Linked DNA regions of Drosophila melanogaster. The gene in region 1 interacts genetically with each later gene. Each region holds a gene or a part of one and is shown on either strand. Other genes may lie near its edges.

Region 1 (15,628 bases):
GGGGCAGCACAGTCGTCTCGAAGACAGCAAAGCGAACACCACTACTCTTAATCAAGAATGGATAACTATAACCACAAGAAATTCACTGGAGCTCTGAAGCGAAAGCGCAGCATGGATGCGGACTCTGATGACGATGTGGTCTTCATTATGGAACAGCCGGGCCAACGCACTCCAGAGCAGCCGCAGCCTAAGCGTCGCTTCTTCCGACCCTGGATGGATGAGTCTCCGGAAGAGGAGCAACCACAGCCGCCACGTAAGATTGTGGCTACATCGACACCGCCGCCACAACAAGTGGATGGCACCTACCACGCTAACATGGTGCGCAATCACCACAAGCGCCGCCAGCGCAGTCCACAGGAGCAACTGCGTCGGGATCGCAACACCTTGGCCAGCCTGCGCCATCGACGCTCCCAGCAGCAACAGCAGCAGCTCATCGAACAACAATACCTGACCAGTCGCATTCAGCACGAGGCCAATCTGCAGCAGCAGATCCGCCTGAGTCTCTACTATGTGCGCTTCCTGCAGCAGGCGATGGCCTCCACGGAGCCACTGCCTCCCACACAGCCAAGGCACATGATGCCGCGCCAACAGACCACCACCCAGCATCCTTGAAGGGTGGACATGGTGCAACGACTGGGCGCTGCTCAATGCGCCCTAACTTATTGTAGAAAAGCTGAATAGTGATTGTGATTACTTTTAAAGTTTAATTTATTTATCTGGTTGACTAAACAATAAACACACTAATTGTTATCGAAATAACTTGTAATTTTTATAGAATTTTGTAATAATTGGTTTTTAGTTGGTTTCTGATTGATTGAAATCTAACTCGGGGTCTTATTTATTGAATCTTATTTGGAAGTCTGATATTTCTTTTCCGCCGTTTAACATCATGAGGATTTGTTCTAGACCAAAACTGACCGGAAGCATCAGCTCATAAGAGTTACCTCACTTGGTTTTTCTGCCATTATATAACATTAAATACATCTTATGTAATTAATTTCTTGGAAGCGCAATTTGCAATGCTAATTAAGGTGTGAAGTAATTCTAGTGATTCACATAGCCAGACTACAGTGAGAATTGAATCGATTCGGCACGAGTGACATATTGTGGGAAACACGGAATAAAATTGTAATTTATTTCAGTTGGATTTAATTATTTAATTTATAAACAAATCAGCATAGCGAACGAACAAAGTGCTTGCAAAATAATTAAAACACGGTGACAATAAGATCCGCCTTTATATTTAAATAATCATCAATGAAATCATCATATTGTTGTCCGCGATTAAAAATTGCGCAGATAAATAAATCTTAATATACTAAATTATTTACACGAATAGTGTTTTACTAATTCATTTATATATATGATATATGCCGTATACATGTTTGTACGAAGTTTATTTAACTCTTTAAATATTTTTAAAGGCGTGTTTTACTACCTAAACTAATAAATGGATTAAATATATTTAATTCACCTCTCAAGACTTCCATGAATGCAATTCCTTCTCCGTAAACTGAAATCGCATCTGTCAGCAGTCTTTAAAAATCCTTGACACTTTTTTCTAACCACCGACCAGGACATATAATGCCATGTCATTCTAGAGGAAAAGTGTTCGGCAAAGGACCCTCGAGAATTTCCAGGGAATTAAAACAAAGTGTGCTGAGGAACCAGGAGCCAAAGGGACCACACACGGTGCCACAACAAATTGTGTCATGCAGGTCAATAAAAAAATGCATCGCCTGCATAACAGTTGTTCGGTCCAGAACTTTCCTGTTCCGGTGGCCACATTTGTCCGATAATCCAGGTAATCCACACACCAAAAAAAGGATAATGAGGCAATCCTGCGACGACAATTAGCGCTGTGATAGAGCAGGTCATAAAATATGCTGCTTAATCCAGGACGGAGATTACCTAATGCGGAATGGATGCGCTAATCCCTTTGTTGACAGACCCAAAACAAAGGGATTTCCCTATGTGGCTACCTGTACCGCCTACCTACTGTGCTTATAACCAGGATATCAATCTCGAAGCCAATCATTCAGCAAGCGATCGTCCAACGAGTCACATCATCACCACAACTCATTCGGAGTCATATTATCGAAATACAAAAATGGAGAACTCATCGAGCTACACCCACAAGAAGTTTGCCGTCAGCAAGCGGAAACGGGAAGTGGACCATGACAAGGAGAACCAAACTCAGCAGTCGGAACAGCCGATCTTCAAGCGCCGTCAGACACAGGGATTCTTCCGACCTTGGTTGGATAATGAGCAGAACCAACAGGCGGAGAAGGAGACGTCAACGGCGGCGAAACCCAGTGGCCCAGGATCCTCGGTCAGCCAGTACCGTGCCAACATGGTGCGCCGCAGTAACACCAATCGTCAGCGAAGCCCCAAGGAGCAGATGCGCCGCGATAGAAACACGCTGGCTTGCCTACTCAGCCGGCGGGCCAAGCAGGCACAGGAGGAGCAAGTGGGTCAGCAGTACGAGCAGTATCGGAGTCATCATGCCGCCATGCTGGAACAGCAGGTGCGCCTCAGTCTATACTACCGCCACATCCTCCAACAGGCGGTGTTCCAGCGTGCCATAAATCCGGCACCGGGTCACATCCTGCCGCAGCAGCAACAACAGTTCCTCCAGCAGATGGCCCTCTCCCAGCAGATGCTCATCTTTGGTGGCCAGCACTGCTGACCGTCCAAAATCATATCATAATCAGCGACTATGGATAGCCCAATCATGTGATTTAGTTTATTAAGCCTTAATTATTAATATTTATTGTTGACTTTGAAATAAATCAAAAGTTATGCATTTAATTTAAATTGCCGGTTTTGTTAACTGGGGGTTATCACTTGGAAAATTCGAAATTTAATCTAAAATGATTGTTAAATTTGTTAGGAGGTCAGTGGATCGCAACCATTACATTTTTTTACATATGTATAATAATGCTATATATATTAGGATTTTAAACATCTTTAAGTTAACCCACCGGCTTGAAAAATAGTAAAATTATATAAAATGATTAAGAGATCAATTATCATTTCTAATTTAATTACAACCTAATCGTGATCATAATATATAAAATTTATGGTATAATTTTTAGCTCAATAAAACTAAAAGTACTGCTATCAAAAGTAGATTATCTATTATTTGATATGACTTTTGGTAAAAAAGGGCTCAATCAAGGGCTCAAAAACCACTTACTCCAGTGACTTGTCTGACCACTGGAGTAAGTGAGTCATCGAAGCATTGACAGATTTTTCCGAGAAACCATTTACCCAGAGTGCCATTACCCAGCAAAGTTCAACTAATTGTTGTCTAGCTAATTTTCATGGCGTTCTCATTTCGTGGCGGCTTTCGTCAAGGTTCAAACCCGCCACAAAGAACCACATTTTGGACTGGGCCAAGCTTTTTGGCATCGCCTTCAACGCGGTGGATTGTTGGCTAATGATATTGACAGAGATCGGATGTGGCGATATGGAGATATAGACAAAGTCCAAGCAAAGCTTCAAGTTCAATTGGCCAGTGAGACGGAGTTTTGCAAGCACACACAGCTCGAAGCGCAGAAATGCAATTTTCAATGTTAGGCCAGTTGGAAAAAAAGAAGAAAAAAGCCAAAAACAAAAAAACCAAATGCAGCCACAAAAAAAAAAACTCAACAATTAACTGAAATTGATGTTTGGCTGCATGGTACAAGTGCAAAGTGGTTTACTGGGTTGTTGGAGTTGCGACGGAAATTTGCGCCATAGGAAGTCGGACTGCCACAAGTACTATCAATGAAAATTAAAAGTAATTAACTGCTCGCGCACAGCGATTGCGCAATCGCCAAAAGAGTTAATTATGTTATGTGCAGGGGGCTTCCCCGGCAGCATGAATACTTCGACTAAATCATAGCTCCTATTTTTCACTCACAGCCCGATGCAGTTGGCTGCATATGAGGCGGGTGCACTCAGTGACGAACATCAGCCTATGTTTTTTCCATCGGATCACCCGAACTTCCTCATAGACCGTTGATTTTCTACATGGTTAGGCATTATGCAAGTTAGCTGGAGTGAAAGCAAAGTTAGGATTGCAATTGGCTTTTCTCTTGGTATGCATCGAAACCCTTTCTTTGTGACCTCATTCTATGAAATTAGTTAGAATTGGCCATTACAAATTGATTAATTAACAATTACACGAGTAAATATTTTAAGAAATTCTATGAATAAGCAAACCCTTGAAATTAATATCAGTTTTCAATTACTTTCAACTCAAGCTAGACAAATTTGCAACTAACAAGCTAACGTTATTTCGCTGAATTCATTCACACTTTTGGCCATGTTCCGGAATCAGTATGACAACGACACAACCACTTGGAGTCCGCAGGGTCGTCTCTTCCAGGTGGAGTACGCAATGGAGGCGGTGAAACAGGGAGCAGCCACCGTGGGACTCAAGGGCACCGACTATGCCGTGCTGGCCGCCCTGTGCCGCACCTCAAAGGACACGAACACGCTCCAGCGGAAGATCATGCCGGTGGATGACCACGTGGGTATGTCTATCGCAGGACTAACGGCAGATGCCCGCGTGGTGTGCCAGTACATGAGGACGGAGTGCATGGCATATCGGCACTCCTATAACGCAGAATTTCCGGTTCGCCGTTTGGTTTCCAATCTGGGTAACAAGCTGCAGACCACCACCCAGCGCTATGATCGTCGTCCCTACGGTGTGGGCTTGCTGGTGGCTGGATACGATGAGCAGGGACCACATATCTACCAGGTGATGCCCACGGCCAATGTGCTCAACTGCAAGGCAATGGCCATTGGATCTCGTTCGCAGAGTGCTCGCACATATCTGGAGCGAAATATGGAGAGTTTCGAGGACTGCGACATGGATGAACTGATATGTCATGCCATTCAGGCCATTCGAGGATCGTTGGGTTCCGATGATGTCGAGAATCTCACCATAAATGTGGCCATTGTGGGCAAGGATGTGCCGTTTAAAATGTTTACGGAAGCCGAGAACCAGAAGTATGTGAAATTGGTCAAGGCTATGGATCCACCTCTGGAGGCGGACCACGATCCTCTATCCGAGGAGGGAATGAGCGATGATGACATGACGGACCACGGACCGAGTAGCAGTGGAGTTCCACCCAATGATACATCTGACATGGAAACCACTGCATCCACCGGCGGCAGTGACGCACATTGATCTAATCTGTGATTAGAAACCCTGACAGAGTATACTAAATTTATTGTTTCGTTAATAATGTTATTAAAGTTTATAGTTATTATGTTGTATGGCTGCTTCGTTTTTGTCAAAGAAAAAAACAAGAAACGGTTAGCAAGGAAATTGAATTCTGAATTAGTTTTAATAGCATGTATAGCATATATATTCATCTTATGGAACCTAATCGGATTAAAATAATGGAAACACTATAGCACTTGCCATTCCTATTAATACGTTGAAATTTTCCACAGGGATTAGGGGTTATGCAAATGAAAGCCTTTAGCGTGACCAATTCGATTACAATGTATTTGAAAATATCGTAGCTACTAATAGCTAAAGTGTTTAGTTTAACTTTAAGTGCGACAATGACAGCTGAGCGATGGACGGGAATAGGAGTAGTTATTATTTAAGCCCACATTCCCGTAGCTGCGGTTTCAATCGGTTTACGGCTCTATTGCCAGTGGTTTGACCAGGGTGCAGGGTTAATACCCAGTGAACTTTATCCGACTGGCTTGATATTCTCCATGGGGGGAGGCAATAGTCGATGGGGTCACCAATAACGATTTGCTCCAGGGGCTGATGATTGCCTGTGACACCACGCGAACTACCCCTGGGGATTAATTGGGATTTATTTCGATGGCTCCACGCTTTATTATATTTTATTAAATTTATTTATATATATTTTTAATATATTCATTGCTTCATTAGCGCTTGATTACTTTTTCTGCCAATGTCATAAATTAATATTTATACCATTTTTAGAAGGAAGATTAAAAGTCAAGCACACGATAAAAAATCAATTAGCCGTAAAAATTAAATCCTCATATTTTATTTATTAAGAAGTTCCTGCTTAACCTTTTAAGGCATTTATACTAAATATATACTAAATTTCTTAGCACTAAAAGTTCTTGAAGAAACTTAACAACTTAGCATTAATATAATAACTATATAATACAATCCTAAAAGGAGATGGACGTATCTAAGCATGCTCCTGTTTAATACCACCTATCAGGTAGTCGATGCTAAAGTTACTCTTGGTATTCTCCTCCGGAACTCTCCTTGAGGATACTAGCGGGTGGTCTTCCTGCTTGACCAGCTGCTTCAGATGATTCAAATAGACCCTGGCACGCAGACTCTGTTCGGCGATCTTGAGGTGCTCATCGGAGCACTCCTTGTACTGCTGTTCGATCTGCAGGTCATCGAACTTCTTCTTCCGTCGACTCATCCTGCAGGCAATTGTGTTCTTGTTGCGGCGCTCCTGATCCTTCGGTGAACGCTCCTTCTTCGGGAATTTTCGCACCATATTGACGTGGTACTTGAAGATGTCTTGGATGGCCTCGGTTATGATGGGGCTGGCGGATTGGTAGGAAACGCTTGAGGATGAGGATCCCAAACGACGACGCTTTGGCAGTGGAGGAAAGTCAGCATCCTGATCACTGAAACCCAAGCTGACGGACTGATTTGCCGCATCGAAAGGACTCCGACTGGTGCAGGGTGTGCCGCTCCGGGAGATTAGCTCTTCCTTCAGCTGCAAATCGCATTTCTCAATCTTTCGACCCATGTCGAACTTTTTGTGGCGATAGATCTGATGGTGCTCCATTGTATGGTATGATATGCTATGGTTATGCTATGTGTGTTCTACTCGAAGACTCTCGATTGAATGCTGTCCTGTGGATTGGTACACTAGCTTATATGGCGAAAGCCTTATCTGCCGCTCTTCGTAATCCCCCCACAACTTTTATAACTTTGTTTACACAAATCGACGACGAATTTTCTTTTTGCAAAACGAAAACAAGATCATAAACCCGCTCGATTTGCCTGCGCACGCGTACATGCCACCCAATCCCATACCCAAACCCAAACCCAAAACCCAACCCATCCCACTTACCTACTTGTAAGCCCACCCGTTGGGCATCCCTATCTACTGGTCATGTTTATTCTTGCGTGCGTTCAGCTGGGATCTTTTGAATTTCAGATACAATACAATCCGAGTTTTTCCGGATCAGTAGGTGGCGAAATGCGCGCCCATCGATTGTCTGGGTTCATTCAATTCGTGTTTGTTCCTCTTTCAAATCTATTATCTGCTGTGTTTTTCAATGTCGCCGCCTTTTGTAAAAGTCATATATATATATACATATATGGATTTTGGGCTACTCTTGTTCAATTGGCCTCTATTCGAAAAGTGTTTTGCGGCCTCATTTGTCCAACTCCCTTTGTATCCTGCTGTTGATAAGGTGTGTGTGGCACTGATCTTTTGTTTTCCGTTTGTTTCCCTTTTTTTAGATATCACTTCTTGGAACTCGGAGTGCCATTTCTGGGTTTGCAGTTTAATGCCGAAGATGACGATAAGATGACGTCTATTTGGGGTTGCAAAAGGGCACATTCCTGTAGACAGTCTGCGTCTGCTGATAACGTGCGTTTATCTCTTTTGTGCCAGGTCACTTGATAAATCGTTGTAAACTCAGCGCATCTTAAAACGATCCTAAAAAAAAAAGTATTCGAAAATTGGCCTGCGTAAAATAACCTACTTATTTGTTTGTTAAGAACTGAGGTTTTCCGAATTAGTATAAAGATTTGTTGTACGCGTATGACTCATTTCCAACCTTTTAAGCTTTGACAAAATCGACGTACGTTGCCTACTAGACACACGTGACTAAATAATCACTAATCAAGCACTTTAAAAATTGCCGTAAGGTGCAAAAAGCAGAATTAGCATTAGAGCTGTTAGCACGGCCACGCTTGACACCAATTGTTTGATTTATACTTTCATTACTACTTACTAGTAGAAACAGAAATAGGCAGTAAAAGGTTCTGCCTTTTCATTTTGAGGGTATACACAGATGTATATTTTACTAGGCCACAAAATTGCAGTAAGTTAAATAAAGCCTCAGTTAAATGCATTAGCATTAGCATGGAAGTACAGGAAGAATAGTTTCAAGCTCTAAAAATTGAAACAGTGATCTTAAGCCCAAGTCCCCGAGACATTTAATAAGGTGGTACGTTTTAATTAGCCGCCTGGGACCAAGATCTCCAGCACCATCTCCATCACCAAGTCGAGGAAGCATCCAAAGCGAGTCGGATCACTTGGGACAGCTGCCGGTAGTTGGTAGGCGGTTATGTGATGAGTATGTCGGGTCGCACTGGGGTCGCGATAAGTCAAATCGGATGGCTGGGTGGCTTCCACTTCACGACTTTACGGGGGAATTTAATAATGTCGTTTGTATTTCGCTACTGTCTACTGTCTACTGTCTATTGACTTTTGCATTTGCTTTGTTTTCTACAGCTGCGACGGCGATTAGTTTCAAGCTATTTTTGTTATCCACCCACCACCCACCGCCCACCGCTCCGCCCACAAATCCCTATTATTTGCTAATGCCGAGCATCTGTGTTTGTGCCTTTTTTTATTTTTTTTATTTTACGTTTGTCTTTGCAATTTCGATTTGATTGGATTTGTTTTGTTTTCTTCCCATAAATAAGAGCCCGCCACCCATCGCAGCTCTCAGACGTTGATTCGCATTTGCATCGGTCAGGTTGGGCTATCCAACGGATGTGGAATAACTTCACCTAACGAGGAAGTCAATTAAAAAAAACATCATTCAATCTAAACGTATCAAATTAAATATTAAACAATCTATCGAAATGGGTCGTATCTTTGGCGTAGTTGCTCTAATTCTGATGGCCGGCTTATGTTTGGCAGCGGAAATAGAATTGCCACCAGTTGAGTTCAAGCCGGTTCGAGAAATACGTGAGTGTCATTATACATATGTGAAAAATCAAACCCTATATTAAAATTAAGAAATAAGAACAACAGAAACAATTCTTGGGAAGTGCAAACTTAGTGCATTTAAACAAAATAAATGTTAAAGCAAAATAGAATATTAATACATTTATTCTAAAATCTTATTTTAAAAATACAATTTCTTTGGATACTGCAAAAATTGCGGAGATTGGCTTTGTCGTTTTTAATATTAATTTGATACGGCCATTTAAAATTAAAAGGTAATCTCTAAATTTCTATAAAAAATTTATAATTTCAAGCGTTGTTTCAAACAATTTTAAAAAGTACAAATTGTTAATGCGACACTTTAGTATACTCTGACGATAGCAAGTCGTTCAATTTGTGATATTATCAGTTAAATAGAAAATTCGAACATACAAAATTGACTTCGTGATAGCAATAATCATGTGAAGCACGCAACTTTGTGTGAATTTTATAACAAAGCAATTCAACCGTCTGACAGTCAAAGTTTAAGCCCAGATTAACTTAAAACAATAGAATTGCACAACATTAGATACATTGCAATATATTGCATACCATTAACGAAAATCCTCTTATATTTTATTGATAATAAAGTATTTAATATATTGGCTGAACTTTTTAGGGATTTTTAATTGTTCATGAAGCCCGTTTTGTAAAACTCAACATGTAAATGAGATAGATAAGATTGAAATTTGTATTCTTCACATCGCAACAGAATAATAAACAGAAGTTTATATAGAAAAGAATTTGCTAAAAAACATACTTGAAAAATTATTATTTATAATTAAATATAATATTTAAAAACATATACACCTAAGTAAATATAAATTATGTCAAAGTAAAACGTGATGTCCTTGAGCTTTAATTCACTATTAAGACACTATGTTACAAATTCAATTATAATTATCTAAATATAGTTCTTTGGCATACGCAGACAGACCATGACAAACACAAAATGTAGATTGTCATGTTCATATATATATAAAGGTATTGTCTTCAAACAGTTTTGGCCAAAAATAAACACACAGTCATTTAAATTACCTCATTGTCCAGGCCACAATTGCAAATGTTTTTTTATACGATATTCGCCGACCGAGTCACTTGCTGTTGTAGATATAAATATAGCTTTTTTATGGTAGAAGTTAAAAATATATGACAAGTTCGCCGCTTAAGTCTTTTTTTGCCGGACATGTCACTTCCGCCGGTAAGGTAGACTTCTCCCAAGGTAGACCAATAGGAAAATTGCCGAGACGAACTTGAGACAACGAGCAGAACGAAACTCTTAAATGATATGCATGAATTTTCGCTCAACTCACTGACAAAATCAAATCTAATCAACAAATTAATTGCGCATGACGTTGACAATTATGTGAGCGACGAAACGTTTAAGCCAAAGTCGAACTGAAAATTCTCGGCTAGAAAACTGTCACGTTCTGATCATAGGCACATCGATCGTACGCGATATGGCTAACGTGTTTTATGCTGTACTAAATATGTCAAGGTTCCCATGCTCACCAATTTAATTTTTGTTTTTTTTTTTTTTGCTTGGCTCGGCATTCGGCAGCTGGGGATATTCCGACCTGCCGGGAGGGTGACATCAACATCAGCGAGTGCATCAAGCAGGGCCTCCAGCAGATAACGCCACGCATGAAGTACGGCATCAGCGAGCTGAACATTCCGCCACTCGATCCCTTCGAGATGGGAAAGAGCTCCTATAGCTACACCTCCGGCCTGCTCCAGGGACGGATTTCCATGAAGAACGTTGTGATCCACGGCCTCAGCGAGGGCATCGTGGACAAGGTCAACTTCCGGCTGAAGGATGGACGCGTGCGCATGGAGATCCTTTCGCATGTGCCACAAATGTTCGTCGAGGGCTTGTACAAGGCGGACATCAAGCTCAACGATCTCAAGCTGAATCCCAAGGGCGCCTTCAACATTACCATGAGTAAGTAACGCAGCAGAACACATGTAACTGCATGTTAAGTATTATTAGGTCACATAACAGTTTGCTATTAATATTATTATATTATTCAATGTTTTTGCTTCGCTTTTTTTCTTCTGCAGCTGATGTCGCGATGAGGGCGAGACCCATTGGCGAGCTCTACGAGCGTGATGGTCACACCTATCTGCGCCTGACCAAACTGGAGACTGAGCCCAAGGTGGGTGACCTGAAATTCTACGCCAATGGACTAGTTCCCGATCCGGTGCTGAGTACGTAATAGCCAATCAGTACTTACTTATAGTACTTACTAAACTGCTTTGTTTTCGTTCAGACGATGTCATCTTGGACTTTATCAATCAGTACTGGCGCCAGCTTTACCAGGCCATGCTTCCCGAGACATTGGACACCTGGCAGCCGCTGATCCTGAAGTCCACCAATGACTTCTTTGCTGCACTACCGTTCGATATGCTTGTTACCAAGAATTGAGATACCTAACTTTAATATTGTTTTACTATTTATACCTTCCGGATTCATCTGTTCTACTCAAGGTGTTAACATAGTTTGTACCGAAATAAAGATACAATTACCTAAATATAAAATATTTAGAAAATATTCTTATCTATGTTTGCCAGTTTATGTAGAATGTGTATTTTCTAGAGTGAAAGGTTGCACTTACACTAAACAATCAGTCATGAGTCAATTTACAAGTCAAGAGCAATTAAATAGGGCTTGAGTGGCAGATTGAAAAAGTGGGGCTATAATGGTCACATAAAAGGTAATAAATTGAAATTTTTTATTGGTTTATTGGTAGTTAGGAATCGAACCGAATGGATGGAAAACTATTGGATCGAATAATGGAAGTCACTTAGTAACTATCCTATAAGCAATAACTTAAGACACTAATGGTTTTATGCAACCCGATTGAATTGTACTTAATTGTATAACTTTTCACAGGGCGTTCAATGGCATATACAAGCTTAAAGCTTCTCAGAATATAATAGATCTAATTTTACTTTCTAGCTATACTATATATTGTGAAGTTCATAGTACAACTAACTTTAAATATGACTCACTTAATGACGAGACTTCTTTAAGCTCAATTTGCCGGCCCTACAATGTCACCATTGAATAGCCAAAATCGGTAGACCATTATTAATATACGTACTTTGTAATTAATATAAGAATTAATGACGAATCATTGTTGCCATTTGCTGTAGTACCTTCAATATATTTTTCCATTTAATAATACGACATTATAAATCAGGCAGACCGAGCCGGTTTGGCATTCAGTCAAAGTCTAGCTGTTTGCCGGCTAATGTTTCTGATTTACAAGTAAAATATACTAAGCTAGATTCTAACTTGCATTGTGTCGCAGTGTGCTAATTTGGAGAATAAAATAGCTCGACTTGCAGTCTGGAAGCTTCAGTTGTAGTTTAACGTTCTAGCAGTAGGTTGAAAGTCGAATTCGAGTCCCAAAAAGGATATAGTTTAGTAGTAGAATGTATTGTACTATTGGATTGCTCAGCCTGCTGGCCTTGGGATGCAGTGCAGCTCCCACGGATAAAAACTACTTTGCTGGTAGGTATATCATATATTCGTTTTTGTTTTCTCTTTATATAACATTTTCCCACATTGAAGATTTGCCAAAATGCTCGACTGAAGAGGATCAGCTGGGTGAGTGCGTGAAGCAGCTGTTTAACACATTGACTCCGCGCCTCAAGGACGGTAATCCAGAGTTGAGAATCGAGCCCTACGAACCTTTGCACCTCAACCGAACCAGCTTCCAATACTCTAGTGGCACTGTCAATGGTCGCATCACCGTTCGCAATGCCAAGATTTATGGCTTCTCCTCCAATCGGGCCAAAGAGGTGTCCGTCAAACTCAATGGCGACAAGGTGAAACTCCGTCTGGTCACCCAAATGCCCAAGTTGAACATTGTGGGCAGCTATAAGGCCGACATGCAGGTGAATCAGCTGCAACTGAAGCCCAAGGGTGAATTCAACGTAACGCTCTGTAAGTAAGTTAGTTTGCCTCTTTCGGTGATCACTTATCATTCCGGTTGCAGTGGATGTGGAGGCCATAACGGTGACCGATGGTGAGGTCTACGAGAAGGATGGTCATCGGTTTTTCCGCCTCAAGAATATCGACTCAAAGCCAAAGATCAAGGACTTGGTTATCAAGGCAAACGGAATATTTGCAGATCCTGAACTGGGTGAGTTCAAAGCTGTTGTTTAAGGCAAACTAGTGAATTTGTTGCACTATGAAGAACGATGCCTGCTTTTTGAAAATTATGTTAAATATTTTTATTTAAATTATGCATTTACTCAAATACGGTGGTTGCACATTGGTTGTTAAAAAATTCTAATTTTAAAGTACTTTAGAACATGTTGAATAGCACTAAAAACGATTGCCTTATTGCTTCCTCGTGTTTACATAAATATTTAATTACTTTAAATACGTAATCACTTTGCATTAGTTGTTTGTATTACGTCAATACAAGTATCAATTGATTCCGCAGTAATAAAATTACCGTTCATTTAACTATAATATATATTAAAAGATTTACGAAGCAATAATTAAACTGTAAAAGTTACATACCAAACATTTTTTGCAAGTTGCCATGTTTGATGTATTATATTTAAATTAGATAACTTCATTTTAACTTAACTTGACACATATAAACAGGTGCAGTAGAGAAAATTGGTATTAAGTCAAATCCATTAAACTAAAGGCAAACCAGTTTATATGAAGTGTTTTCTGTGTACTTAATGCACATTCTAACGCTTGTGATTATTTTTCGTTACAGATAAAATCGCTCTGAATGTGGCTAATCAGTATTGGCGCGATATTTACGGAATAATGTTGCCTGAGACTCGACAGTTTTGGCAACCCCTTATGTTGCGAATGTTCAACGAGGCATTCGAACTAGTTCCCATCGACCAGTTTCTCAAGGAGTAGCTCAATTTGCGGTTGGATTTAATAGAATGATGATGGTTAAATAGAAAATAAATTTTTCCATTAGGTGCTATTAAATGGTAATATTTTTTTTAATTAAAAAACATTTATTCTAGGCGCCAGTTTGAATTGCCCATTTTGAGTCACACCAATTAAGCCGTCAGGTTTTATGGAATTTTTCATGCCCTAGTTGAGCGCAGCGCAAGTTTTACACTTTTTTTTACCGCTGTGTGACCCAATGATAATCGCGTTAATAGGTTAAGTGCGCACCCCGACAATTGACCTTCGACCTTGACTTCAATTACGGAGTGCAAGTGCAGTTGAGCAACACCCGAAACTATCTTTGAACTTGAACTTAGTAGGCCATATGCCCTCATGCATAGATTTCGCAGTGTATCATGGTATACCAGACCACCTAGCAACTATAACACAAAGCTGGGACTTGGATTCTGATCACTTGCCTCTTATCATTAGCATTGAGACAGACAGTACTCATGTCAATCCAAGTCCCAGGCTAGTCACCAAACACACTGACCTCCTTGCCTTTAGCCGACAATTGGAGAGCCTTATTTCGCTGAACACCACGCTTAATTCTGGTGAGGAAATTGAAATGGCTGTTGACAACCTAACTGAAAGCATACATAGGGCTGCGGCTGTCTCTACTTCTCCCGTCCCTCGGATAGGCACCACATATGGGATAGTCTTGACAAGAGAGGCTAGAGAGCTTCTGACACAGAAAAGAAGACTCCGAAGGCGAGCAATCCGATCTCAAGACCCCTGGGACCGACTTTTATGGAACCGTGCTGCATAGCAATTACGAAACGTCCTCAGAGAACTTCGAAGCAACTTTTTTGAGCAGAAACTAGCTAGTATGGACTACACAGTGGATGCTGGATACTCGCTATGGAAATGCACCAAGTCCCTTAAAAGACAGCCGTTTAGACAGGTTCCTATAAGGTGTCCGGGAGGCGAACTTGCTAAAAATGAAGAGGAGCAGGCTAATTGTTTTGCAAATCATCTGGAGACAAGGTTCACCCACTTCCAATTCGCTACAACGGAGCAGTATCAAGAGACGCTTGATAGCCTAGAGACACCTCTGCAAATGTCACTACCCATTAAGCCCATCAGGGTTGAGGAAATTGTCGAAGCTATCAAATCTCTTCCGTTAAAGAAGTCTCCTGGCATCGACAACGTTTGCAATGCCACACTAAAAGCACTACCTGTTCGAGCAATTCTCTACTTGGCGCTGATATATAATGCCATACTCAGGGTGCAGTTTTTCCCAAAGCAGTGGAAAATGGCAGCAATCCTAATGATACATAAGCCTGGTAAACCTGAAGAGAGCCCTGAATCGTACCGACCCATAAGTCTTTTATCTTCGCTATCCAAGCTATGGGAACGACTGATTGCCAACAGATTAAATGACATTATGACCGCGCGTCGTATCCTGCCGGATCATCAGTTTGGCTTTCGTCAGGGACACAGTACTGTGGAGCAGGTACACAGACTGACAAAACATATCCTTCAGGCCTTTGATGATAAGGAATACTGCAATGCTGTTTTCATTGACATGCAACAGGCATTCGATAGGGTCTGGCATGACGGCCTTATCAGCAAAGTTAAAAAGTTATTCCCAGCACCATACTATGGAGTCCTAAAATCATACTTGGAAGATCGGAGATTCATGGTCAGGGTCAGAAACTCCTACTCGATTCCCCGCGTTATGAGAGCTGGAGTTCCGCAGGGCAGCGTACTGGGACCGTTGCTCTAC
Region 2 (18,420 bases), on another chromosome or scaffold:
TATTTACAAATGATGCTGTACTGGGTTTAAATGAATTTCGAAAGCAAAAATGTTCATAGGCAAATAAATTTAAAAAATTTTTGAGACTAACTCAAAAAATGTAAGTTAAAACTTTTCGATTTAGACCTCAAAACGATGCATTAAACTTATTTTACCCGCTTAATTAACTTTCACCGCAGAAATTCCTCAGCGAGGACATTTCATTTGCACACAAAATACATTTCGCTCGGCTGTCGCAAGGAGTCCAAGCACTTGGGTTTCGCGTCCTGGTCGCGAATCCAAAACTCATTGCTGAAGAGTGGGATGAGCTTGCTTGAGAGCCAAGCGCTTTCGAGAGGCGATTAGCCATAAAAATTATAGATTCAATCTAATTACAAAACGCTGCGGTTGGGCATCGGGGAGTGTGAAGTGAATATTTAATTTAATTAACAAGAAACAATTTGAAATGCTTTTCGCCCAGCCTCCGTTGCGGCCGCTGAATTTATTGTTATGACCAGGCCGCGACTGCGGCCATGTCGTTGTCATCAAGGCTCCGGATTCCCGCCTCCGGGCCAAGGGCTCCGGCTGCCAATTCGCTATTCCGGCTAATAAAACCGCAATGTTGCCGCTGCTGAGCGAGTGATTGAGCTCAGGAATTGGCCACTCGAGCAATGGGAACAATCTGCGCTGTGCTGTCGGACATGTTTATTACATTGGCATTTCGCGTAATTGAAGCTGGCCGCGTGGAGTTGTTTACTTGTTCCTGCTGTTCGCTTTTTATGCGAGTTTGATTAGCTGCCTCTGATTGCCGGGCGATTAGCCACGCCCACGCTCCTCCAATGCGGTATCTATATTCATTATGGCAGCACCCAAACATGTGTAGGACATGCTCCCGGCGAGGGCAGGTCGAGTCAAAACCAAACCAAAACCAGAACCAGGCCAGAACCGAGGCGAACCGGACCACATGTCAGGAAATGTCAACGACGCGCATGAAAATTCCAAGGATTCACACCCTGTGCAAGGTCCTCCCCTTTGGCCACTGACTTCCACATGGGTACACTTTAAAAATTTATTTATTATTCTAGGATGGACCCAATCATGTCATCAAATGTGTTCCGCGTCAGCTCCGAAATAAAAGTAATTTAAACTTCTCATAAGAAAATGTGTAATTCCTAAAAAGTGACCCAACTAATGAATTGAAATGATACTTAATAATACAAGTTTAGTTCTAGTTCAATTGTATAGCAAAATATACATTTTGGACAATTATAAATGTTCGTTATTATGTCAATATTTGTAAATAGCTCTCACTGCACTATTATTTTTCGAAGTGCACGTCCTGTGAGTCCTTTGGCCGTGGCAAGTGCGAGCGACAATTTCCTCCCAGGGGAAGCAATTTGCCACACACACACAGCACTCCACACCATACCACACCACACCTAAGGGCCCGCACCAAGGACCAAAGGGATGGATGGGCTGGTGGAAATTCCTTGGAGCTGAGGCTGAGTGCCGCATTTCCGCGCTGCAAGACGCTGGACAGCCGCCGCAGCCAGTAGCAAGTAATGTGTGCGGTTAAATGTCCATAAATCAAATCCTAACACTCCATGTCCGCCGCTCAAGATGACCAACGGAACCCGCTGTAACTGAAACTGAACCTGGATCCGGATCCGAATCCGGATTGGGAATGGGAATGGAGAAGGGGAAGGGGCTGGACCTGTCCGAGTTAATGCGGTTGACACTTTTCTGGGCCCTAATAGATGGGCGATGCAATGGAAATTCCTCGACTTGACCTCAAGTCGCCCGCAATGGGACATTAAATGCAAAAGTGAAACCGAAGACAACTGGGACACTAGCTAAATGCTAAAAATTAACCCCTCTCCTCTCCTCTCCTTTCTTTCCTTGGTTTCTCCTTTTCAGAAGCCAAGTGTCCACTTTGGATTGGAGTGGTCTTAAGGATACTAAATGGATTGTAACTAAAGCAAAGTTTTATAAAAGTTGTACAGCAAGCAACAAGGAGTCATTTAAGAAATCGATCGAATAATTATTTTAAAGTGAAGAAAATATCATTTTGTATTATTTGAATTTTAGTTTATTAACTATGGTTGCAATACAGAGGCATATTTTAATATATCTATTAAAAAAATGGTTAAACTTCACGATAATTTAAGAATATTCATGGCTTTTGTCACTGAGTTCGGTTAGAATTTTTCGTCCAAGGGCCAGAGACGGTTGCTTAGCTCCAACAAAAATTTATAGTAAAACTTAGTATAACTTTTTTAACTCAAAATTAGTTGGGATAATTGTAGGAGGTTACGCACGGGTTCATGTGATTAACGCTCAGCTTTCTCGACTTGGCAGCAGGCTCGCCCCACGACAGATTCATCGAGGGAGCCGCATGCACGCTCGTGGGGACCTGACTTTGGGAACTGGGATGCCAGGATTGAGTGGCCAGGATAGGCGCGGATTTAGACTTGGACCAAGCCTGGGCCGCTGCCTCCAAATCCTGCTTGATGCTCTGCAGAACCAAATCCACGTTGTAGGAATAGTGGCCCGAAGAGGAGCTAGAAGCCGAGTTGGTAGATGTTCCTGTGCTAGATGTGGCAGTGCTGACCTGTGGTGCAGCTGTAGTTTGAGCCAGATGCTCCAAGATCTCGCTGAGGTCGGCGCTGGAGCACATGCCGTTGTTGGTTGATGCTTCGGTCTTCATTTTCTGGCTGGCTTGATAGTCTGGCTTTGGATTCACAGGAGCCACTGCCATCATAGGACGCTTTTCTGCTGCCGCTGTGCCCTCCCTGGGATCCTGGGAGTAGGACATGAGGCGCTTCACTATGCCTCGGTGGGCACTCTGCTCAGCCTGGGGTTGAGCCAACTTGGCGTTGGACTTGGGCTCGCGGTGACCTTGTATGTCCTTCTTGAACTTCATTCGTCGGTTCTGGAACCAGATCTTCACCTGGCGTTCGCACAGGGACAAGCGCTGAGCAATCTCAATCCTGCGCGTCCTGTACAAGTACATGTTGCTCTTGAACTCGTTCTCAAGTTCCACCAGTTGGACACTGGTGAAGGCAGTCCGTGATCGCTTAAGCTTCACCCTCTGCGAGTCGTGGTTGGGCTGAGATGGCAGATTCTCGTCCGATGACACATGCTGCTGATGCACATGCTGCGGGGAGCAGTGATCGTTGAGGGTGGTGGGGTTGGAGTTCATCTGATTGTAGTTGGGAGGCAGACCGATGGGGTTAACATCGTGATGATGACCATAGATCAACTGAAAGCGGGTAAACAACTAATTAGTTTATTGCTGATATTCGATTTTTGATCTGAGTACTCACATCACTGTATTTAACCTCGGAAGGATCTGCTGAATAGGAGCCGACTTTAGCCTGGTGAACTGGATAGTAGTGCATGACGGATGACATATTTTTTCTGGTACTGCCGAGTGAGCTGTCAAAAGTGGAATGATCTGTCGTCCTAAGCAAACATCATGCTTATATAGGAGGGCTTGTAGGTAGACGACATAACAGGTCAATTCCGCCGACGCATCGTTGCGAAAAAATTTGCCTAAGCCGCGAGTCGTAAATCCCTTCGTCGCTGGACTGCCCGACTGGCACCTCGGAGACTAGCCAAGTCCGACGACTCCCGGCCATTGGCAATGGGCAATCTAGAGGCTTGTTTTGATCGAAATCCTGCCAGGATCTGGCGTTGCGTGAGAGACAGTTCCAGGGTTCCTGGGCCGCAAGAGCCGGAGTCTCGCCAGGTAGACGGGCTGATGATGATCGGAGATCCGAGGCGATTGTTGTCCAACTTGTAGCACCTGTTGAAAGAGCCTCCGGTGGCGGCGCTGAAAGTGAAACCGAAGCTGTTGTCGCGGCTTTTGGTCGCTCGCCGTCCGCAATTATCCTCATAATGCAATGAAAGCAGCGCTGTGAGAAAGGATGCTCCTCGGGGTTTCATGCTCGATTTGGACAGTTTATGGCTCTGCTTGTTTCCAAGGAGTATATGCTCAAGTCTCCGACGCGGCGAATGCGAATCTGTCTCGGGTCTCCGGTCCATAGGCCTTCCCATCCTCAGTCCTCGAACTAGGGAATTGTTCGCAAATTTTATTACTGGCGCTATCGGATTTTCTCCTTCCGAGAATTCGCTAAAAATACGTTGGAACAAAGGAAAAGTCATAACAGGATAACCGTGTGGAAATGTCGCGGCGAGAGTGAGGTACAGTTGAAAATATCTTTACTTAGGTTATATATGAAAATTAACATTTTCGAAATAATATTTTTAGAATTGTCGAAAAGATTCATTTAAAAACATAATTAAAACATGATCTTTTGAAAAGAAGTGCTAAAACTCTTAATTAACTTGTTTAAGTCTTAAGTTAATATCGCAACCATGTTAATGGGTCACTGTGCACAATTGTGAAAAGTATTTACAATAAAAACCTGAACCAAATTAAAAAGCTTTACAATATCAATAAAAAACTAATTTATGAATACTTTGCGATATCTCGCGATATTTGAAAGATGCATAGATGCTATAAATTATCTTCATAAATGGCGGATTAAAAAGTAGTTTATTAATTATAGTAGTTAAACTAGGTGTGATGAAGGGCACAGGAAAACAAGTCTTGTGATAAGTAAGAATGGATTCAGAGCTTGGTTTTCCCAGGACATCCATAATCCACCTACTAAAACGCGCCCAAGATCAATAAAAACTCTATAACTGGGAGAAACCCAATCAATATTCGTTCATATAGGCCCCGTTATTGGACTTCTGGATTTCCCAAAACTTATATCAAAGAAAATAGGGGCAACAAGTTGCCTGGCGGCGCCCCGCGAGTGCTGCCTGTACAGTGTCTACCTAAATAGTGCGACCGCGCGAGGATCAGGCGATAAGAGTATGGGTTTCAGGTAGGTGAATAAACACAGGCAGCTGGTGCAAATGTTTTATGATCCGCGGGTGTTCGCGGAAAAATCGCGAATCATATTTTATGGCAGGCATGTGTGAGTATGTGCAATAAAGTGCATTTTTAAATTCATAAGATTTTCGGGAAAACCAGATACTGTTTTCGTTCATTCTAGAAAGGGACGGAAATATGGGCTAAGTATGTAGTTATGTGTAGTTAGTCACAATTTACCCGAGTAGAGTAGTTCTTATATATTTTCGTAATTAAAAATACAAAGCTTAAAGAGACAACATCAAAGGTGCAGCATTTTAAAATTAAACTTGAGGCCTAACAGATTGCAATGCTCTTCTTAGTGATGTAAATAGAATGTGAGCTATGATAGTTATTCCGTTTGGCAGCAAAAAATCTCCGAATCTGAAACAAATGGTCTGCATTGATTGAAAATACAATTTGCTGACTATTCTTGGTCAAAGAATGCGCAAATGTTTGATTATGTCAGACACTTTGGCATAGCATAGAAATTGAAAATATCATATCAAATATTATTGTTTAAATGTTCGATCTTTAAGGGTAATCATTGTATGAGATTACGCCCAAGAGAAACATTTTTCATTTTGATTAGTACAGTTTTTAGCTATGTCAAATTGTAACAGAGAAGATTTTCTTGCTGGCTCGGAATATAATTTCCGAAATGTGGGACGATAACTTTCCATGGAATACGCTTAAGCCCAAATGGCCTCAAATGTAACTGGTTGCATATTCCCGGGCTTTAGTGGAGCAGCCACCCAGATACATCTAAGGCGAATAGCGTATTGCAGGGAAAGTATAGAGTTAACTGGAGTATCACTAAGATATGCACTGGAATCCGTGCGGCCTGCTGACTAGGCTAGTACATAAAACTTCCCTGGGAACCATTTACACGGATCTTAGGACTAGACCTAACTTTCTACGCGTAGATATCTACAATCACTTGGTATTTGTACAATCAGGAACAACAGTGGTTAACCTAAAGCTAATGAAACTCTCTAACACGCCTCTCATCCAGGCTAATTGAAGCAGTAGGCAAACTGCGAGTTGCCCGCGGCGTTCCGATGGGGATTATACGCTTGCATTATCGTATCCATCGTGCATTGATATTGGTTCGATTCGCCCATGGCCACGCCCCCCATTCCGAGGGGCGGCTGAGGGCCTTGTGGGGGCGAAGGCTTGCCAAATTTGGCAAATGCCGCTCCACGATTTCCGGTTCCTGCTAAGGCTCTTATTCCGGTGCTCATGTCGTCGCTACTGCCATCGTCGCAGCTCTTGTCCAGACCCTTCAAAGGCTCCAAGATCTAGGGAGAGAGCGAACGCATTTAGAACATAAATAAATTCGATTGAAATTGCTAAATTATTGTTACAATTTATAGCTAAAAATGTTCATCAGCATATGAGTCTGTTTTCACTTTTAAAATGCATAGATCTTATTTTTCTGGTCAAAGAAATGCTATTTTAACTTGCAGTGTATTAAGAGTGATTACATGAATAAAAAAGTAAAAAACCCTGAAAACTAAGGGCTTTCAAACGGTTGAAATCTTAACCTTTGATACAAATTCTATATTAAAATACATCTTTAACACTTGTACTTCCCTTTCAGAAATGCCATGTCTAATTTAGAAAACAAAAACTTAATAAGTTAAATGTTAAATATTGGAGAACTCCCAAATCTCATCGATCGGAAATAGAAGTACTTTCAGAATAACATCTCAAACCAGACAGTTTGAAAGTTACAAAGCTTAAAGCTTCAATTTATAAACGCCACACTCAGAATCAAGAGATCAAAAAAGGTTGTGGACTCATGCCTGACCTGTAGCGTCGTCTTCTTGCTCGTTCCGTCGTCCATGTCGTCGGCCGCCTCCGTCTCGCCAACGGCGATGGCGCAAGGTCCGCCGATGCCGATGCCACACAGACTCGGACTTTCGTCATTCTTGGGTGTTAATGGCTCGTAGACCTCGGAGCCCGGCGAGGCAGCGCCTCGGGCCACAGCGGATGCCGATGCAGTGGCGCCAGACATTCCCGATCGCATGTAGTACGAGCTGTTGAAGTTGTAGTCGGCCTCCGGTTCGTCCTTGACCAGGACGCGACAGGCGCTGGCTTGCTTTTGCTGGAAGTCAAAGTGATGGTATTGCTGCTGCTGAGCCTGCTGTTGCTGCTGCTGCATCTGGTGCGGCACGTGGTTGCCCTGGTGGTGCAGTTGCTGCTGGTGATTATGGACCTGCTGCTGCTGGAAGAACTGGCCGCCATTGACATTGGTCGACCCAGGTCCTGGCCCCCCTCCGGAAGGATACTGCATGTGCATGTGACGATTGGCCTGGGCGTGATTGTGGCCTCCATTGTAGTTGTAGTAGGCGTTGAATGACTCGCTGTAGTGCTCCGTCATGTGTGCAGTGGGCGTTGAGGGCGTGGGTGACGGAGTCAAAGCGTTGGGCGTGGCTCCTCCACCCAAGCTAAGAGTCTGCAAGCTGGGGGGATCGCCATCGCTCTGTTTCATACCCGGCGAGAGAGGCATCCCCTCGTAGGACTGGTCCTTGTGCTGATCCGATTGGATCTTGTGACGACGCCGACGGTTCTTAAACCATATCTTCACCTGGGCTGTGCCCAGGGCTAGTTTCGCTGACAGATCCGCAAGTCGGGGGGCTGTGAGGTATCGTCCCTGCAGAAAGTGCTGCTCCAGCTCTGCTATTTGAGAGCTGGTAAAAGTGGTGCGGGTGCGACGTGGTCGCCGCATCACCAGAGAGTCGGGCAGCTCCTCTGAGGGAAAGACATCTGATAAGACGATGGCTGACTTTGTTGGCTTTGAGCTCACCTGGCTTGGGCATCTGGTTGGGCAGATACGGACGTATGTAGTTGTAGTTTATCGCTCCCGTTCGCTCATCGAAAAGCTTCAAAGAATCAAGGGGTACACTGTCTTTATATAAAAACGTGAAAGGACGATTCGCTTCGGGGACCGAATCTTGCAATATTACTTTCACTAATCATCATGCAGGACAACAATGCTTGTTTTAGAAAATATGTTGTATGAAGTGTATAAAGTCAATAATGTATACCCAGTGGCCATAGATGTGGCTTTTGAAAAATAGACATTACTGATTGTCGGTGTGAGTGCAACAGGTTTAACATTCGTCCATTTCAATGAAACACCTTTTAGAACATTTCGGCAAATCACTAATAACATGATGCCCCACAATTCATATACAATTATATACTATACTAACTGTAACGATTAATAATATCAATTGGTTTTTAGATTCTGCTACGATACTTTAAAAGTCACAAACAAGATAATAGAAGATTTCGCCCTATGTTCTAGAAACACATTTGCTGCGGCTCAATAAATGTTTATGGTCATCAGTGATCGCACTGGTTGTTTGTTCACCATAGGGAATCTGTACTGTAGCTTTCCTGGGACAAGAGCCCTTCTCTGCTGCGATGGGAACTCACCAAATCGAAGGGATTTCGGAATTGTGGCGGCAACTGAAGCTGCGGATGTTGGTGATGTGGGTGCGGATGCGAGTGCGGATGCGGATGGGAGTGCGGATGCGGATGTGTGTGCGTGTGGGGCAGCGGATGATGGTAAAAGTTTTGATCTGGCGGCGGTTGCGCCATTTTCCCCAAACACTCCGCCGCGTTATCTTTACGAATTTCCAAGCGCCGCGCGGAAAAATGGCAAAGGAGTGTGGAAACTTTCTTGTATTTTCAGTAACCGGTTACTTTCGAGACGCTCGCGAACTTATTTCGCCCACATTTTGCGTTTTTGCGATCCACTGCTTCGCATCTGCAGAGTGCCGTTATTTAGGGATGAGCGAAGAGATGTAGAGATGGCACAATTGGCGGCCCTCCCTCGATGTTCATTCTTTTGAGTAATTTAAAAATCAATAAGCGTCTACAATACATTTTAGACAAATATTTGGACATTTTATTTTTAAATGTTTGCCTCTAATTTAAAAGTTTTTAATCGAACAGTACGGCAAAGCTGCAAACCGATTGAGTGCACAGCGTTTTCACCAGGGGGCGTGAAGAGACAGCAGTAGAGAGCCCCCTGTCGGGCTGTATTGAAAGGTTGTGCTCACTGACAAAAGGTGAATGTTCTAAAACGTCGGAGGTTTATTTATTTGTAGAGATTTGCATTTGAGAATAATAATAAAAAAAAGCTTGAATATTGTAACAAATAAGTAGAACCAATTAAACTTAAACTCTTTGCTCTGTTTGGAACTTCATAATATTAACATTTAATTAACAAACAGGCACCCCAAATTTAGGAATCAATTAGACAAGTGTCGAATGTTTAATTTGAATTTTTGTTAATATTATAATATTAATATGCTCCAGTCCAGTCCAGCCTGAATTGAACAAAATGTGCACTTTGTAGTTTATTCTGTTACATACTTCCGCTATTAATAACTACATTATTCAATCTTAGTATCGCGAGATATATAAGGACTTGGGACAAAGAATAAGGATGGTGGAGATCGAGTTTGTTTTTCCAAATGATCTCAAACGGCTACGTACGAAAGAAAATATCATATAATCGTTTTGTAAGACAGCATATAGTGCTTGCTATATGTACCTGTTAGGCAGTGCATTATAAAATGTATTAGAAGAATAAAAGGTAACCAGTTGTCGAGTTAATTAGCTGTAGCGTTCGATTCTTTTGTTAATTTTTTTTAAGTTGTTCTACTCATTTCTGATGTTAAGCTAGGATTGGCAATTATTATTTTCAGGCTCCATATTTGGAAAATTCGATATGTTTAGCGTTGAAGAATATTGTGTAAATATCTACAAGCATTAAGTTGCTCAGTGCATTGGCCCAAGCTTTAACATTTTAAAACACACCCAACGAGCCAGTTGACCTTTAAGCAAGTGTCGCAAGGCCTTAAGTGAAATATTTTTTAATGACATTTGCCAAATAATTGTCGTGTTTGCTTTTGGGATCTGGCAGGAGCTTGTTGCTGTTGGCCGGGCTTTGCTGCTTCTGCCGCTGCCAACTGGCAACAAAAGTCAATTCACAGACACTCCAGTCGACGGAGTCGGAGTGCAGCCAAAAGGCAAACAAAATACGTTCGCATAGGCAAAGCCCAAGGATACACACAAAGGTACAGTGGTTGCTCTGACTACAAATACAAATTAAACAGGGCCAGAGCTTTAATACCAATTCGATACCATTGCAACAACAGCATTTCAAATGCTACTTTTTTATATCAGATAAAGATAGGTAGAAAAGGCTATATTTACGTTAAAGGCAAGCTGATATTTTAGAAATTTATTCAAAAACAAAATTAATTACTTTGACACATAATATTGTATTTAGTCATCTGACTAGAAACTAGAAATCTCTGAATGTAACGAAGTTCTGTGCATTCTTACAAATATTACAAAAAGTATCTGCTAGATACCACTGTGCGGAACTGGGCCACAAATTCAGACGCAGTGTGTGACAAAGGACTTCTCCCTTCCCCGCTCGGCGACCCTGAATGCTGAATGCCCCCGTGTGTGCCGCTGCTGAAGCGAAACACCCAAAGAGTCACTGACAGAAACAGGATTCGGGTAATAAATTACAAAATTTGACATTTTCTGTTTTGGATCCGCTTGCGCCTGAATGCGAGCGGCAGCCCTCTCTGTCGCACGCCGTCTAGCCGTCTCTTTCGTTCGGTTTCGGTGTGTGTCCAGTTCGGTCGGGCCAAGTCGAGCGTTGCATGAAGCAGCCGGACCTGCCAGGACCTGGACCAGGACCTGAACCTGCATCCAAGAGGCATCGCCGCAATGGTCATAATGACGCTGCCGGGATGCAGCTGAGGACAAGGAGAGCCGTCAGTGGGCAGCGAGAAAGGGACGGAATAGAAGCGCCCTATGCGGTCCGTTGATAGTTAACTGGAAATTTATTATTTTACACAATTTACAATTATCTGATTCGAATGTGCACTCAGCGACGAGGATTCCGGCAGATGGGCAGTACGAGTGAGAGTGCGGGGGTCCAAGTTCGGACGACAGATGCAGTTGTCCTCCCATGGGAACGGCCTCATTTCAGCAGAAGTCACCGAAACGATTTAAGATGTGATTTAATTTTCCAGAAACTGTGGCCATAGTTTCGTCGCTCTTCGGGGGAATTTCTTCGCCAGACAGACAGCGTCGTCATCAATCATCTCGCAGAGTAAAGCCGGGTTAACCTCGATGGGTTTTAGGGGGAAACTTGGCCCGGGGCTGATCAGGAATCAGGCTGGAAATATGAAAATTAAATGCGTTTGGGCAGCAGAAAGTTTTCGAATGGTTCGGTGCTTATACAACAAGTGAAATTTTGCACATCAAACGGCCTTTGACCACATTTAATCCTTAAATCATCTGCCATAGGAACTAATTGATCGAGATCCAGACACATATTAAACACATCAATATATATACACAAATATAATCAATATAGACTATGTTATATTTCGACGTTTCCTATCCTCGTATGCTGTGAGTACACATATTAACCTTCAGCCGTGTAAAGAAATTTCTACGAACAGCCAAGTTAAAGGTACCCAAATTTCCCGAATACTGCTCTTTAAATATCCTTCAGAATTTCCCAGCATGGCTGAACCAGGACTCGATTCAAGTTCCACCCAATGCCTTGTACACCACCCCGTTGTTTTTGCCTTTTCGCGCATGCGCCCCTGCTCCGGCGCAAAAGAGACAGCACTAATGAGACGGCGCTGGGATCGCTGGCATTTCCAGAGCGGCTAGGATATTCCAGGGACCGCTCGTAATCGTTGCTGTTGTTGTTAGCCGCCAGCGGAAAGTAGTGCGCCATGCCATAAATCACACAAATGGGTAGAGTTCCAACTTTCCCACCCCGCCGCTGCTCCTTTTATTGTCCTTCCACGAACCCCGAAACGTTTATGGCCAAATGGCGGCACGAATTTGAATTTGAATTTCGCACGCGGTCTCTCAGTTCGCCTGCGGCCGCTTTCGCTGGCGCTTTGTTTTTGCAACTGACCGCTTATCTTGGGGCGGGGGCTGTCAAGTGGGCGGGGCAGGAGGGCCACAGGCAGAGGCATAAACAACAGCAGCGAGCAGCAAAACAAATCAATTAAAGACCAGAAGGAAAGTGCATTGATAACTGAGCCCGAAGTCAAACTCACGCACAAGTAAACAATTTAAATACGAACTAAAATGCAAACACAGATACAAAATACAGATAGAGATACTGAACAAACACAGATACAAATACTGTGAAGGCGACAATGTACATAACCGAGGGGTGATAAGATCCAAAACGTCGATGACTTCTTCATCGGCAAATACACTGAAAAAAGCTGTTACTAATTATTAAAAAATATGCAATATAATAAAAGGTAAACTATTTTTTTTACTAAATTTTAAACTATTTACTAAACACTGCCATTTAAAATCTTTTTTCACATCCTTAACTACAAAAAAATTAATTTTAAATCAAATTGATTTCGTTTACCTGGCTATTCATTAAAAAAAAAAATAAGTATTGATATATCGGAAAACTAAGTTATCTCCGTTTTTACCAGTGTATCCATTAAGAAGCAACGTTGTCTAGACACAGCCGCGGTAATCAATCATAATGGTGTCTATCTGCTTCATTCTCGCGGTGTACAAATTTCGGGACTTTCCTTGAGAAACCGAGCCATCGACGTCGGCGCGTCAGGAAGAATACAAAAATAAGAACCCGATTCTCAGAACCTCAGCAGAGATACGGATTTTTGAGCCGAGCTCGGTCGCCTCTTTCAATTCAGTCGAGTCCCGAACGCGAAGTGAAGCGCATTGAACCCACATTGAACTGAGAGATAGTCGAGGAAAAAGAGTCACAAAATCAACAGCAACATCCTGTAAATAAACAGAAATGTATGAATTATATTAAAATAAGACGATAAAGCTGAAAAGTGTGTACAAGCCTTATAAATGTTTCAAAACGAGTGTGTGTGCAGAATTCTTTCCTTCTTATTTACTTTTGAAAGATACTTTTAAAGATATACTTGTGACCTTTAAATTATTATTCTATAATTGAACCTAGTTTTAGTTTATTATATTGAATTCGAAGATGGGTTAAAAATGGCAGTTCTCCATTACATACGAAATATTTAGAATGGCTAACGCGATCAAAAGACTCAACATAAAGTGATACACTAATAAATCTCAAATCTATTTTGATTTCTTACAGACCAGACATGGCGCGTCTGCGGCTTCTAATCGGTCTTATATTCTGCCTTGCGATCAGCTTGGATTCGGTGCTTAGTGCCCCAGTGATCAGCCAGATCAGCAAGGACGTGGTGGCCAGTGTGGGCGACTCTGTGGAGTTCAACTGCACCGTGGAGGAGGTGGGACAGCTCTCGGTGAGCTGGGCCAAGCGTCCCAGCGAGTCGGACACCAACTCGGTGGTGCTCTCCATGCGGAATATCCTCAGTCTGCCCGACCAGCGGTACAACGTAACGGTCACCGAAGGACCCAAGACCGGAAGTGCCATTTACACCTTCCGCATTCAGAACATCGAAGTCAGTGACATGGGTCCGTACGAGTGTCAGGTGCTTGTTTCGGCCACGGAGAAGGTGACCAAGAAGCTGAGCCTGCAGATCAAGACCCCGCCGGTGATTGCGGAGAACACCCCCAAGAGCACCCTGGTGACAGAGGGACAGAATCTGGAGCTGACCTGCCATGCCAATGGCTTTCCCAAGCCTACGATCTCCTGGGCCCGCGAGCATAATGCAGTGATGCCTGCCGGTGGCCATTTGCTGGCCGAACCAACTCTCCGGATTCGTTCCGTGCACCGGATGGATCGCGGCGGCTACTACTGCATCGCGCAGAACGGAGAGGGCCAGCCGGACAAGAGGTTGATCCGGGTCGAAGTGGAGTTCCGTCCGCAGATTGCCGTCCAGAGGCCCAAGATCGCCCAAATGGTGTCCCATTCCGCGGAGCTGGAGTGCTCCGTGCAGGGCTACCCGGCTCCGACTGTAGTTTGGCACAAGAATGGCGTGCCCCTGCAGTCTAGCCGGCACCACGAGGTGGCCAACACCGCCTCCTCCTCGGGAACCACAACCTCTGTGCTGCGCATCGATAGCGTGGGCGAGGAGGACTTTGGGGACTACTACTGCAATGCCACCAATAAGCTGGGACACGCCGATGCGCGACTGCATCTCTTCCAGACCGTCATCCCAGTGCCCTCCTTGTCGTAATAAGCCCTCAACGTCTGATTTCCATTCCCACGCAACAAGACTGGAACCCTCACTTTCTCCTCTCGTCTCGCTTTTTCGGCAATTCGCCAGTCCGGATGCGGTCTGTGTTTATATTATTAATGATTCATTCAATTAGCTCCCATTCAGACTTCATTATTTTCGGACACACTTGAGATCGAGCCACCGCTTGTGCCTTATGAATTTTGCTCTGCATCCGTCGGCTTGTGCAAACACACATTAATATGCTTAAGTAAATAACGTTCTCTGATAAAGTTTAATCGGTCTTTTCCTATGTGGTTGGGTTGGCTTGTATACGGTGTAAGTTAAATACCATGAGAGAATAAACACCTCTTGAAGCAACGAATTAAAGGGTTTGTCATTCAATAAAACTAAGCCAGGAGACAAGGCATTGTCAAAAGTATTTCATTGTTTTATCGAGAGGGAATCTAAAAATATATGGTAAGTGCAGATATAAATGAAAAATTAATCACTTCTAAACAACACCCAATGCTCCATGGATCTTATTAATTTATAACAATAAACAATTCAAACTTTACACTTTAAAAGCCACAGTTTCGTTAGAATGATGGCTAGAACATCCAAATCTTTTAAAAATCCATTAACTTTTTTGGATGCCACTTTCCAAACCCTAAATAACAGATCTTTCAAGATCTTCTTCCTTAAAGCTGCCATCTGAGTCCGCAAGGTCCCACCTTGACACCAAAAACAGCATGTAACCTCCATTCTGAGCTGGTATTCCAACGGTTAACGCTGCCGAAGTCATTTGCCAAAAAGTTAACCGAGCCCGCTCAAAGTGCCACAGCGTTTAACTCTTCAATCATGGTTAAAAAATGGCAGTCAGTTGTTCACCTCTTGACGTAAACACTCACATGGTCAAAATGCGGAGTGGGTTGTGTGGCGAAAAGTGAACCCGAATGTAAGTTGTTCATTGTAATTGAGAAAAATGCGAGGCATTTGTAAGGCGGTCCAACGAGCTGGGTCTGCCACTGGTACATGAACTATTCGGGAGCTTGTGCGGGGATCCAGTCCAGAGTGCCCAAAGGACTCCATTATGGCCGGAGCACATTAGTTTAACTAAATCCCCAACCCGGCTCATCGCTCACTAAAATCAACACTTGCTAATGACTTAATTGTTTCCATTAGAAACCCGTTGCTGGAATACATTTGGCAAATTTTTCATCCTCGCTCCTGGCTCCTTTTTTCACATGTCCTGCTGGCTTCCCTTCCTGCGGACACCCCTCGAAATGAATCCTGGCTAAATGTCTGTCTTTATTGTAATTGGTATTGTTGCTGCTACTCGCACGCATTCGAGCCTGAAGTCCAGGGACAACACGTGCGTCCTCGTCTGAAACTCCCAGCCCCGCATCCGACCTCCCATTCCGTCGTCCTTTGGCCAGGACATCATTTCATTGTCTGCCGGGGCCGGAGGTTGAGGCCTCTGCGGCAGGAGCAGAGCAACATGGACGTCGACGTGACTTTTATTGATTTTCGGACCAAAACCTCCCCTGAGAGAGAGTCGGCAAAAGTCGATTGGAACGCCAGACGTGAGACTCTGGCCAGTTTAGGGGTGGAAATCGGGTTTTTCCTTGCCGCCACCCTGCCGCAGAAAATGGCAACAGTAAGGCCTGGCTAAGGAGCCCGACAAAGGCTTCAAAGAGAGCCCACTTCAGTTCCACCTCCACCAGAGAATTCCAGCCTGATGGAGGCGGATGTGAAGCCAGAGTTAACGCCTGCGCAGTTCCGTCAAATGGTTACCTTAGGACCAGTGATGACATCCTAGAAGCTTTTCGGCATCCTCTGACCTTAAAATACTATAAAGATATTGATAAAATATAATGTTATAAGCGAAATAAAATATATTATAATATATATATATATATATATATACATATATATATATTCTAATATAATTATAATATTATTATAATATATATAATAATTATTATTATAATTATAATAATATAATAATAAATAATTAGAAAACCTTGTTAGAAAGAAACCATTTATTAAAAATGTTGTCGAACTTTTTAAACTTACGAACCTACACATATTCAGCAAATAAAACTAAAAGAATGTCATCACTGCTTCCGACTTGCACTTTTATTGGATGCTGTTACTGGAACCTGGAATCAGAATCCGCCGACAATCTCTGGATTCCAAAACGAACCGCCTCCACAGACGGACGGTCATTCGGCTGGGATCTTTTGGCCAGGATGCAGTGGCCCAGATTCCGCGGCTCCAGCGCCCATTTTCCAACTGTTTCCACATCCTCAACGACGAACGCGGTTGTAAACAAAGGCCGTGGTGTTGGTTTTACGAGTTGATGATGGCTGGTGATGATGATGCTCGGCTCTGTGACTCAAGGAGCTGTCATCGCAATAAAACGCGGGCAGCGGCACGTGAAATTCGATTGGGTGAGTATCTCGTTGAAGATTTGACAAAGCCACCAAATTGTTTGCTGAAGTGAAATAAGATTTTGGTGTTTTAAGACTGTGTTTATAGTGGGGAGTGCTTGAAAAATATCATAAAATGTTTGCTAATTTGAAAAAATTTGATCAGCCATTGACTTGGATTAGAAGAACTCCAAATCATTTATGAAAAAGTTAGTTTGAGTTGAGTGAATATCGACTACATTGTCAAGTACAGGCTTTTTGGCAACTGTGTATTTGGCATGTCGCCAGAAATGCAAGCCTTAAATGTATCTGGTAATTTGCCAAGAACGAGTTATGTGATCCATTCTGTTCTTGGCTTATCTGTAAAAACCATTTACTTTGATGAATAACTACTATTGCTTCATGTTTTAAATTGTTAATATAAGCTACCTACACACTTGGTAGCATAATCAAAATCCTTCTCGGTAAATCATTAAAGTTAAGTCCATTTAGCTTTTAAATATTTATCAAACTTTCGGATTAGTTACTTGATTAGAATTCTCAGGTTTCACACGTTTTGAGTTCCACCCTAGCAGAACTATATACCTAGACACTAAACAATTTCAGACCTATCATAATTAAAATATTTATATCCGTAAAGGGAATCTCTAGATTCGATGAACGTGTTAAACAGTATCGAAAGTAGTTTCATCTATTATGCACGCGACGATAATCACTAGCCGAGTCTCCCTACCATTTCCGTCTATCCCTTTTAATTATGGGAGTTATCAGCACAAGGACGAGATGTTAAAATACTTACAGATCCCTCAAAAGAAATTCGTATAATGTTTTGACATTTTCTCTATATTCCAAAATATGTCTTTTATAAAAATCCACTCATGGTAATAAAATTAATTATATGATTCAAGATGGTATTATATTTTAATAATACATAAAGTTTGTAACAAACTTAGTAAATAAATAAATGAACTGATATTTCATTCCAATATTTTCATTAAAATAAAAGACAAATTGTTGGAAATGAAAAATATATAAAATTGTATGAGCCAGTTTACATTATATTTATTTTATTGTTTCGAGCTTCAAAAATGCACAAGCATTTCATCTAATTAACGTCAGCTGCTTAATTTCCCTCCAACCGATCAAAAGATCCCTGGTCAAGCAGTTTTGCAAACGAAATTCACCACATACTGCTTGCATCGACAACTGCTTGTCTGCCGTAGCGCGCCATGTTCAAACGAGATCCATTTTATTGCCATCTGAAGATGGTTACTGCACAAATTTACATATTATGATGGGGCTCTCAAAAAGAGCTTGTAATATGGGTGGAGAAGATGCAAATGAATGAGGGCCACACCCCCAATCAGATAATTATGAGCATGTTCGCAGAGCGCGCCATAAGTAATTGCATTGTAATTAATGCTGGCACGCCGCTCTCTGTTTGCAAAAGATAAATTAGTAAATGAATTATCGCTGGCAATAGTGGGGCATTAATTGAAGACTCGCGCGCTTGATTTATGAGTCCCGCGCAATTTATGGACGAATGCATAACCATTTTCCCCAATATCCGTTAACATGCGGCAAGCGACGGAGATGCACGAGTGGAAAATGGAAAATGGCAAATGCAAATGGGAAAAACTGTGCCATAAATAATAATTTAAATATTTCATGGTCCGGGCATAAAAACGAATTAGCCTCGCGCTGCCTTAAAGCCAAATATTTACAATGGCGACAGAATGAAAGTCAGTACGCAGATAATAAAATATAGATGTCACAGTGGGAGTTTTGTTATTGAGTCGGTTCTAGAATTTATATTGTTTATCACAAGCAAATTAATATTTCTCATCTAGTATAACTAGTGTCATAGCATCTTGCTCAAAACATATAATGGCCCAATTTCCAGGTTATTTTTGGCAGTGTA

The links.
Region 2: of Mabi (region 1) and bcd, changing one suppresses a phenotype caused by changing the other (phenotypic suppression), as found in Drosophila melanogaster (one study listed by BioGRID).

The regions. Positions count from the first base shown.
Region 1 is NT_033779.5:13,227,796-13,243,423, forward strand, and holds Mabi (mabiki), read right to left. Parts: upstream 6,866-15,628; 5' UTR 6,801-6,865; coding exon 6,180-6,800; 3' UTR 6,003-6,179; downstream 1-6,002. Other genes in the region: CG16813 (uncharacterized protein), read left to right, coding at 58-612; CG16815 (uncharacterized protein), read left to right, coding at 2,111-2,689; Prosalpha6T (proteasome alpha6 subunit, Testis-specific), read left to right, coding at 4,313-5,182; Jhbp14 (juvenile hormone binding protein 14), read left to right, coding at 8,840-8,945, 10,525-10,905, 11,025-11,171, 11,234-11,388; Jhbp13 (juvenile hormone binding protein 13), read left to right, coding at 12,402-12,480, 12,541-12,915, 12,968-13,114, 13,709-13,860. UniProt on the Drosophila melanogaster protein: Plays a role in inducing apoptosis and is involved in the repair of head patterning defects in the embryo caused by extra maternal copies of the homeotic gene bicoid.
Region 2 is NT_033777.3:6,750,757-6,769,176, forward strand, and holds bcd (bicoid), read right to left. Parts: upstream 8,711-18,420; 5' UTR 8,516-8,710; coding exon 8,351-8,515; intron 7,814-8,350; exon of another isoform or gene 7,792-7,813; coding exon 7,716-7,791; intron 7,676-7,715; coding exon 6,717-7,675; intron 6,205-6,716; coding exon 5,920-6,204; 3' UTR 5,086-5,919; downstream 1-5,085. Other genes in the region: zen (zerknullt), read right to left, coding at 2,267-3,241, 3,306-3,392; Ama (amalgam), read left to right, coding at 12,224-12,240, 13,077-14,085. UniProt on the Drosophila melanogaster protein: Segment polarity transcription factor that provides positional cues for the development of head and thoracic segments.